3 linked regions of the Kluyveromyces lactis genome follow. The protein of the gene in region 1 interacts with the protein of each later gene in a pairwise test. Links are inferred from orthologs where the notes say so. Each region holds a gene or a part of one and is shown on either strand. Other genes may lie near its edges. The genes, in order: IME4, KAR4 and MUM2.

Region 1 (3,642 bases):
CTTTTGAATAAATTAATGTATGAGTCGTCTTCGATCCCATCTTGTAACGGAACGTTCAATGCAAAATGCTTACCTCTGGAGCAACCTATCTCATCCAAATCACCTGTACCTGGAAAGAATTCGCCGTTATACTTATGGAATGAAACAGTGAACACACGGTCAGTAGTGTAAAACGCTTCCTGTACACCGTCACCATGGTGCAAATCTATATCGATGTATAACACTCTCGGGTGATACCGCAGTAGATTTACTATGGCTAACACGATATCGTTAACGTAACAGAAACCAGATGGATTGTTCTTTTTCGCATGATGTAGACCACCAGACCAATTGATAGCTATTTCACTCTGACCATTAAGTAGCTTTCTAGAAGCATCTAACGATGCCCCAGCATATAAGGCAGCATAATCAAACATTCCTTGGAAGATAGGACAATCGTCACCAATGTTGAATTTCTCGAGTGACCCTCGAGGAAGTTTATTCAATGTATCTGGTGTTACCTTCGCTAAGAAATTGACATAGTCCTCAGAATGAAATTTTGTTAACTCATCCTTTGTTGCTGACCTCGTCTCATATAAGTCCATCACTTTGTGTAACCCGTATGCCGAAACCAAATGGTCGGTAAGCATAAGCCTAAAAGGTTTCATTGGATGCTTGACACCGTAATGATATTGTGATACCTTCGAATTGAAGTGGTACGAGACTCTGGGACTATAGGAAGTCCCAAAATCACAATCAAACAATGGCTTCTCAGCTTCCGTTTTCTCATCAAATTTAAGTGTATCCGATGACATCTTATGAAAAGGATTCCGCTACCACTTACCCGTAATGAATAACTGCCACTCAGCCAGAATTGATACTTGGTAGCTACAATCTGCAAAGAGTTGGGTATTGGCTCGGTCGATTGTCTATTCGACCTTTCCGTACTTTATTTATGTGTTGTTCTGTTATTACTGTATTTTCAAATTCCATGTTTTTTTATTCCAAGTGGATCAGAACCATAAACTCCGTACATCACATGAACCAATCACGTGATAACAACGTATCAAGATGAAGGATGTACCCCACAATTCTAAAGAGAGATCAGCATCGTTGCAGATTCACGTATAATACACTGGTAAAGCCCTTCACTTTCCTGCCAGTTTGGAGCCTGTGTATTCCCCTGTTCACAACGAATTCCTACCTAGATCAAACTCGGATTTGAAAATAAAAAATCCCAGCTTCATCACGAAATACACCATCTTTTTAAGACAGAACCATTGTTAAACGTGGATGGAACTGAGAGGAAAAGCCGGCAATTTATATATAGTTTCATGACATTGTAGGCACAGAAAGTTTGTGAAAGTTGTGGTGATCGAAAAAAATATACGGATTTGTTATATCTTGTCTGGAGCCAGAGATATTGACGTCGGCGGTTGTTTTTTTATTGAGTGGAGTAACAAGGTGAAACGAAACTGAATATAGCTGCGTCTCGAAAGAAATTGTCCGAGCAGTGAAAGGAGTGAAACTGGTATTATGTCTTTGAATTGGGGGTTAGTTGATTTTATGTTGGACAACTATGCGTCCATCACTGCATCCCCGATCAATGGTAGCTTACACGACATTTATGTCATTTATTCCATGTTCATGCAAAATTTCCTATGGAAGAATAACGAATGTGGTGAGACGTATTACCAGTTTTGTGAAGATTTGAATAAAATTTCAGAAGTATGTGGTGGTTGCATGAATTTTGAAGATGATAGTGGCGGGAATATTTTTGGCCAAAAGATTTCATTTGTTGATGGGGACTCCTTGAAAATATTGCAAAAAGTTCATTATGACCAAGCTATTAAATTGTCATTATCACATACTGGCAATAAAGCCAAGCAGATTGCGATCGATAAAGATTCTGTTCAGGTTAAAGAAAGAAAAATTGAAAGCGAACCCATATTATTAAATAAGTTGATGGGCATTTTGGACCAGAGTGAAATTGTAACCCCTAATGCTAAGTGTCTAAGACACTTAAATCAAATCCTCTCGTTAGAACTCGGATCCACTAAGTTATCTAAAGAACAGGCAAAATTAAACACTAAGCGATCACCTTTCATACCAATATGCTCAGATCCGAAACATGTGTCACTACTATCCACCGTCATCAATACTGTTAACAACAAAATCATGTCTTTGCAAGGTGAAAAATTAAAGAAGATTGAAGCTGATTGTCCGGATATTATCGAATGTTCGAACACGCACATTCATTTCATACCAAATTTAAAGCCACAGACGGATCTTTCGTTGGGAGATTGTTCGTATTTGGATACTTGTCACAAGTTAAGTACCTGCAGATACGTCCACTATCTGCAATATTATCCTGAATCTCTCCAAAAACAGAAAATTGAAGAACAAAAAGAGCAACGCAAGCAGTATTCGTTCTATACGCATGGAGAGTGCTGTTCTTCATCGTTTAAGAAGCTTCTTCCTCCACAATGGATCAAATGTGACGTCAGAAAGTTTGACTTCGATATTCTTGGTAAATTTTCAGCCGTTATTGCAGATCCCGCATGGAACATTCATATGAATTTGCCCTACGGTACTTGCAATGATAATGAGTTACTGCAACTACCATTTGATCTCTTGCAGGAAGAAGGTTTATTGTTCTTGTGGGTAACCGGCCGTGCTATCGAAGTAGGGAAAGAATCATTGCAGAATTGGGGTTACGAAGTAATAAATGAAATATCTTGGATCAAGACAAACCAATTAGGAAGAACAATTGTGACAGGTAGAACTGGCCATTGGTTGAACCACAGTAAAGAGCATTTACTCGTCGGGGTCAAAGGCAATCCGGAATGGCTAAACAGAAAAATAGACATTGACTTGATCATTAGCGCAACTAGAGAAACCAGTAGAAAGCCGGACGAATTGTATGGAATCATTGAAAGACTTGTCGGTACACATGCCCGTAAACTTGAAATTTTCGGTAGGGACCATAACATCCGTCCTGGATGGTTCACGATAGGAAATCAAGTGACAGGCTCATCTATCCATGAAGTGGATGTGAAAAGGAAATACGAAAGATTCATGGAAAAATCAAAGAATTCAAAGACAAACTAAAGATGTAATACTCTCTTTACTTCAAATGTCCTAGCTTTTATTTGTCGATACACAGTATCCATTAGGAGTCTGTATGTGTTCCTTCTTACTTTTCTTCTTTTTTTTAATTTATGTCATACGCCCTTGTAATTACAAACGTTACATTACCCACAAGTTCGTGCTACACTTAAGCAGCAATAGGCAATCTTTTGATTTCCATAACCATGGCTGATCCTACGGGCGTTCTATTAGCCAACGCGCTTGTTTTTTGAATTCAATGCAACAAGCTCTCAGCTTAATCTAGCATTCTATATATTAGGAACGGTGTTTCTGTCCACTACACCAACCCCAGCCGGCAAGTCCCTGCAGCAGCTACTAGAATGACATGCGATGGCTCAGGTTTGCTAAAAACCCAAAATCAATTACCGCCAGGCCGTGAAACAAATATTGTTACCCGGACTTGAATTCCTGAACGTCAATATTACACTGTTTGTCAATATGTATAAAGAGATGCAACAGAAACAGAAAATAAAGTAGGAAGTACTTCTGAATCTGTTGCCAGTGTGAACGGTA
Region 2 (3,013 bases), on another chromosome or scaffold:
ATTGAGAAAGCCATGGCAATACGAAGATTTGATCTGGGGTCTTTTCATGAACAAGTATATTTTCCCTGGTGCTGACGCTTCTACACCGTTAGATTTTGTCGTTTCAAAATTAGAAGCTACTGGATTTGAGGTCGTTTCGATTGATAATATCGGTGTTGATTACTCCGCAACTTTATGGAGATGGTACAGAAACTGGATTGGCCATAAGGACGATGTTGTCAACAAGTATGGGATGAGATGGTACAGAATCTGGGAATTTTTCCTAGCATACTCCACTATTATTTCCAGACAGGGCTCTGCCACCTGTTTCCAAATTGTCTTGAGAAAGAATTTGAACGCTTACCATAGAATTAACTATGTACCAAAACAAAAAGGTTTATTGACTCCAATCAAGGAAGGTGTTGAACAATGGTTCAAATGAATAAAATGCCTTTAACTGATGTTTTTATTCATTCAAAATAACCGGCCGATTTTGGGAATGGAGATTGTATTGATAATGACCACAGTGACTAGACATAAAACACATGACACATATCGTATGCCTCGTTCAAATCAAGACCTTAGCCCTTCTGAATGCAAATTAGAAATTACAAGCTTATATATACCATCAATTTTTAATAGATATTGGAGATTTTGGTCTTAATGACTCTATGGAGGGATCTTTTGGCAGGTTCGATCCAACTCTTCCAACCTCATTTTTATATTCCATAGCGTTGAAGTTGTCTAGCAGTACATCTGGACCCATGATAACCCAACCAGGTCTCATCCGGATTGGTGTTTCACTTCCTGTTCTGGCGGGAACGATATGAAGTCTCCTTGTAGCGGTGCTAAAATTCTCTGCTACCTTGTACAATTGATTCGGAATTGCCCCAACTTTACTATTTTTTGATTCGATTGCTAAATCGGTATCAATGTTGCAATGTATGAGATGGCCATCCGTGGCTCTTCTTACTGTTCCTGTGATACACATCCAACAATGCCATTGCATCTTTTCAAAAAGTGACTCGTCGTCTGCTTCTAATCCGGGGTAAAATGGTGAATTCTTGTTGACAGGGACGAAAACCAACTCCTCACTTCTGCGAAACTTTTTTGCCCATATTTCGTTGTTCAAAAGTCTTGAAAGCTCATTGATCTTCTGTGCACTTCCCCATACAAATAAAAACCCTGGCTTTGATATCAATTTATGTATCGGTAACTGAGTTAAAAGGGGATAGATAAATTGATTATCAGTCAAGCAACCAATCATGACAACATCGAAAGTTAAACCATCTTTTTGTACCCAATCATTTAATGTGGGAACTATTTCATCAAGCTCTACCTTGCAACCAAATGGTTTTGTATTAAACTGCATTACCTGCCTTTCCTTCAGGCTAAATAGCCTCTGCAACTTCGGATATCCATCAACAGTATTCTCAATGTTTCTTACGTGGGTTTGGGGAAGCGATCCAGTATGTATATAGTTATTTGAATGATCATTCGTGTGAAACTCATTTGCAGGCCTAAGTGTGACATGTTCTCTCGCTACGCTCTTACTCGAATTCCCCTTTTTCTGATATATTTCCTCTAAAACCGCCGACATTTCAGCAGCCAGTTATAGTTTTATCCTGAGAAAAGTACTAGAAATAAGTGTATACTTGAAACAAAAGTGCTTTCCATATGAGTATAAATACTACTGTGTGAAATTGGGTTTTAGCAGATGATGCCTTGTACTAGCACTAGAAATGTGTCTTTTAATTGTTACTCATAAGAATATTTTGCCGCCGTTTATAAAGGATTTTCATTCTTGACATATGTTCGCGTTTTCCGTTAGAATGAAAGTTTCAATCTGAAACTATCAGTGACAAAAAGAAGCGTCAAAACAAAAAAAGAAAAAAATTATTTTCTTCGCTGTCGCAGGTTTATGTCAAGCCTTTTGGTTCAACAGACACTAGGAATAACAGCAGATTTGAATTTCCTGTCACAAAATGTTTGGTTTGGGTTTGACCTGTGTTTTGAATTACAGCATTTGATATTTCCTGTTCGAGAACGTATTATCTTCAAAAATATAGAGCATGCACACGATACACGCAGTCGATAGTGAGATTGGCATGTTATATAGTATCTCTTCTGGGGAAAAAGATCTATCTAAAAAGTCTAATGATCTTTTAGAAAACGTTGGACGGTACACTGAAAACTTAGTCATAGATTTGAATGTACTTCGAGAAATCCAAGTTATCAATGATACTATTCTAAAATCAGAAGCTTTTTTGGAAGCAGTAGTTGTGCAGAACGGTGGTGAAAACCCTGTGTTCCAGTATTTGCATGATATCGAAACAAAAAGCAAGGGTCCTTTTGACCCAGAAAGCAGATCAATTATGCAAGAGATAGTTTATAAAACTGTTTCGAGTAGGTTTGAGTTCAACAAGATATGGTTACCAAAATTTTTCCTGAAAGTACCAAAGTCATTCAGTGCAGGTGTAATTTTGCAAGAACAATTTTTGGTAAGTTTATGGGATACATTAGATGATGATATGTTTTTGACATTTGTGAACGTTTGCTGTTCGATGCTTCGAGAAGTTAGCGATCATGAAATGATAGCACTATTGCGATTAATTACAGAATATAATACCACCAGAGATCTCAAAGAGGTATTCGCTGTGATATTTCAAGTTTTTTCAGATACCACTGAGATTGTTGGGAAAATAATCCAGGATTTGGATGGGACATTATATCATAGAACATTGACTTTTATTGGATACTTAATATCAGGTGATAGCAGATTTATAACACTTTTGTTTTTAGAACAATGCGACGCCATTGTGCCAAAGATGGAAAACATACTTCTTCTTCAGGAGCTATTAATTGATTTGAATATTTCCGCAGTTCCTTTGCCTAACCACCTGAGGTCATTGAAATTGAGTTCTATGTGGTATACTTTTAGTGAAAACTCACTTTTTTGGGCAGTCTTTCAGCGTTTAAATTCTGACTTTAATAAAGCGGCAAAAGAATTGGCTTATCAATTAGTAGTGAGGAT
Region 3 (2,748 bases), about 870 kb from region 1:
GCCGTGAAAAGTTGATTTACGGATGTTCTATCACCGATGCCTGTATCGGTTGGGAAACAACTGAAGATGTTCTAAGATTATTGGCAAAGGGTGTTAAAAACAGAAGAGCTCTTTCAAAGGCTTGAATAACAATCACTTTTCCCGCATCGTTTTTGTAATACCTCATAATCTTCTTAAACACACAATCACTTCTTGAAAAGATAGCCAAACTCAGGTAACTGGAAGAATAAACGGCCAACCAATATTTATTTTCCGAGCCTCCTCATGTACATATTACAAGGACAAGTCCGCATACAGTTTATTTAATCAACTAAAATTACTTCACATAAAGGTCTACACTTTGTATGTTCAAGTTTCTCTAATCGTAAGTTTCTAACGTCGGATGAAATAAATATCAATGGTTCATTTACATTTTTGTGTGTCAGCAAAGTATACCTAATCTAGGTAGATGTTATATAGCATACATGTATCTTGAATTACTCTCGAAAGTTTTTAGATCGTCAAATAAAACGTCCAACTAGAATGTCATTGGCAGAAAAAAGCAAAAATATCAGAAAAAGAAGGATCAAGATCTTATACTTTGGTGTTACTTTTCTTGCTGTAGAATCCTTAGTCTTTCTTTGAGTTCTTGGTTTTCTTTACGTAAAAGTTCGAGCTCGATACTTGTCTCCTTCACTCGACCATAACTAAGCATTTTTGCCATTTCTTCGTTTTCCTTCATTAAAGTTTCCAATCGAGTTACCATTTTATGTGCTAAAGCTTCTTCGTCATATCTACCAAACTTTGTAGTAGAATTTGAAGGGTTAAGCGCAACCGCTGTAACTATTCCTTCTAGTCGTCTTTTTGTTTCTTGTAATTCTTGGTCCTTTCTCTTTAATGAATCTGATAACTTACAAAATATTATTTCCAGGGATGCCGGTATCTGGATTTCAGAATCGAAAGTAAGAGCCTTTGATTTCTTCATTTTCTGCTCTTCTTGCTGCTTGAAAGTCAAACCCTGATTGAATACCTCCTTCAATTTTTTTATCTCTATTTCTAACGATTCTATCTGTGTCTCTTTCAACTGTAGTTCAAGTTTGAAGTTGTCTGATGATGGCTCTGTTTCAGAGTCGAAAGTGGTATTGAATCCTGAGCTTTTAGCATATGATGATCTGTCCATTATTACCGTGTTATTTGAAGAGCTTCCAGGATGCGTGTTTGACGAAATGCCTCTCGAGGACTCTATCTCGGGCGAATTATGTTGTTCTATGAGCGGCTGTTCCCAATATGATGACATGCTGCTCCTATGAGTAGAAGATCCGCTCAAATGGCCCTGAAGTCCTTGGTTATAGTGGGAGCCCATACCATCAATGTTCCCATGTAAGCTGAAGCTACCTCCATGTGCCATGCTGGAGTTCATGACATTGGCGGTTGTGCCATACAATTTGGACTCGTCAGAACTACCAAAATTCAGATTGGCGAAAGAGTTATCCAAACTCTGTTGGTTATATTCAGGTTGCTACACGATAACATTGACCTGTTAGTAAAAGGTTAATTATGAGTTAGAAACATTTATAGTCTCAATTTGGTTGTTCCATGTTTCATAGAAAACAGGGACAGACAGAAACAGTATTGATTAAAAATGTGTCATGTAGGCAATCCTCCAATGTATGCAAAAACTTACGTAAGACATATATCCGTTTGAATTCATGGTTTTAAAATAACTTATGGTTTGTTGATCGTTTTTGGAAGATTGTGTGACTACTTACTTGGTAACAAGTGTTCTGTCACTGGTAAATAATTGATCTAGTTTGCTTTATTTTTAAGGGCAGATCTGACATGTTTCATTTTCAGGGAATCATGAAGCATATTCACGTGACTTGCAATGGCTGGACACAACTGCCTCCAGACAGGAACCGCTATAAATAGGAATAAGCCCACCATACTGTATTGAATTGAGTCATGTACGAGGATATATATGTATATATGGACACACAACCATATCGTTGAATACCCAATGCAGATAGGAAGGTGGGCAAGTCCTATTTTTTTAGAGTTTCATGTTGTGATGCATGTCTCTTTTATTTAGAGAGGAGATGCCTCTTATTCTTCAAGGTTGAAGAAAAACATGTAGCCATTCTTTTCTATGTCCTCGAAATTTGGTTCATCGTTGGCCAAGAGAATTTTTTCATCGTTGTAGAGAACCCATTGTTCTTTTCCTTCGACCACTTTCTTAATAAATGCAACGTAATGGCCACTGTGAACTGAATTACCTTTATGGCATATGACAGCAGTCAGTTTATACTTAGCAGAGGCAATTGACGATGCTGGGATTCCAAAACTTTTTCTGGATTGATCCTTCCATTCCTCAGCTTCAGGTAACTCCCCGTCGTCATCCATATGGGAGAAAACCCATTCTACACTGGCATTGACGTCACCATTCTTCAATATCAAAGCTTTGCGGCATAGTTTCGAATCAAGCCCCATAGCAGTCATACTGTTTAGTGCTTCTGAATCGACACGATTTTTCGCTGAGGATGAAGCATGAGGATCAAAGGCCTCGTTTAAGTTAGGGTCCTCCATATGCTGGAACAACCATTCCGTGGCTGCATTAGGGTCAGAGTTTCCCGTTTCAAATAATGCTCTTTTGGTAGCATTGCGAGAGAATCCCATCTGTTCTAATTGTCCTAGGAACAATTCGTTGAATTGGAAGGAATCTGATTCCTCTTCTTCTTCGACTTCTTCCCCTTCGCAAATTCCTGTAGCTTT

Evidence for each region.
Region 2: the proteins of IME4 (region 1) and KAR4 interact in a two-hybrid assay, tested with the Saccharomyces cerevisiae proteins (2 studies listed by BioGRID). The link is inferred for Kluyveromyces lactis from reciprocal best matches to the Saccharomyces cerevisiae genes IME4 and KAR4.
Region 3: the proteins of IME4 (region 1) and MUM2 interact in a two-hybrid assay, tested with the Saccharomyces cerevisiae proteins (2 studies listed by BioGRID). The link is inferred for Kluyveromyces lactis from reciprocal best matches to the Saccharomyces cerevisiae genes IME4 and MUM2.

What each region holds. Positions count from the first base shown.
Region 1 is NC_006042.1:845,619-849,260, reverse strand, and holds IME4 (mRNA (N6-adenosine)-methyltransferase), read left to right. Parts: upstream 1-1,515; coding exon 1,516-3,090; downstream 3,091-3,642. Other genes in the region: histone deacetylase HOS2, read right to left, coding at 1-794.
Region 2 is NC_006039.1:48,078-51,090, reverse strand, and holds KAR4 (Kar4p), read right to left. Parts: upstream 1,580-3,013; coding exon 608-1,579; downstream 1-607. Other genes in the region: KLLA0_C00715g (uncharacterized protein), read left to right, coding at 1-421; KLLA0_C00671g (uncharacterized protein), read left to right, coding at 2,052-3,013. UniProt on the Saccharomyces cerevisiae protein: Component of the MIS complex, a complex that mediates N6-methyladenosine (m6A) methylation of meiotic mRNAs and is required for initiation of meiosis, progression through the meiotic divisions and sporulation.
Region 3 is NC_006042.1:1,720,385-1,723,132, reverse strand, and holds MUM2 (Mum2p), read right to left. Parts: upstream 1,400-2,748; coding exon 587-1,399; downstream 1-586. Other genes in the region: 3-deoxy-7-phosphoheptulonate synthase ARO3, read left to right, coding at 1-125; ubiquitin-specific protease UBP14, read right to left, coding at 2,083-2,748.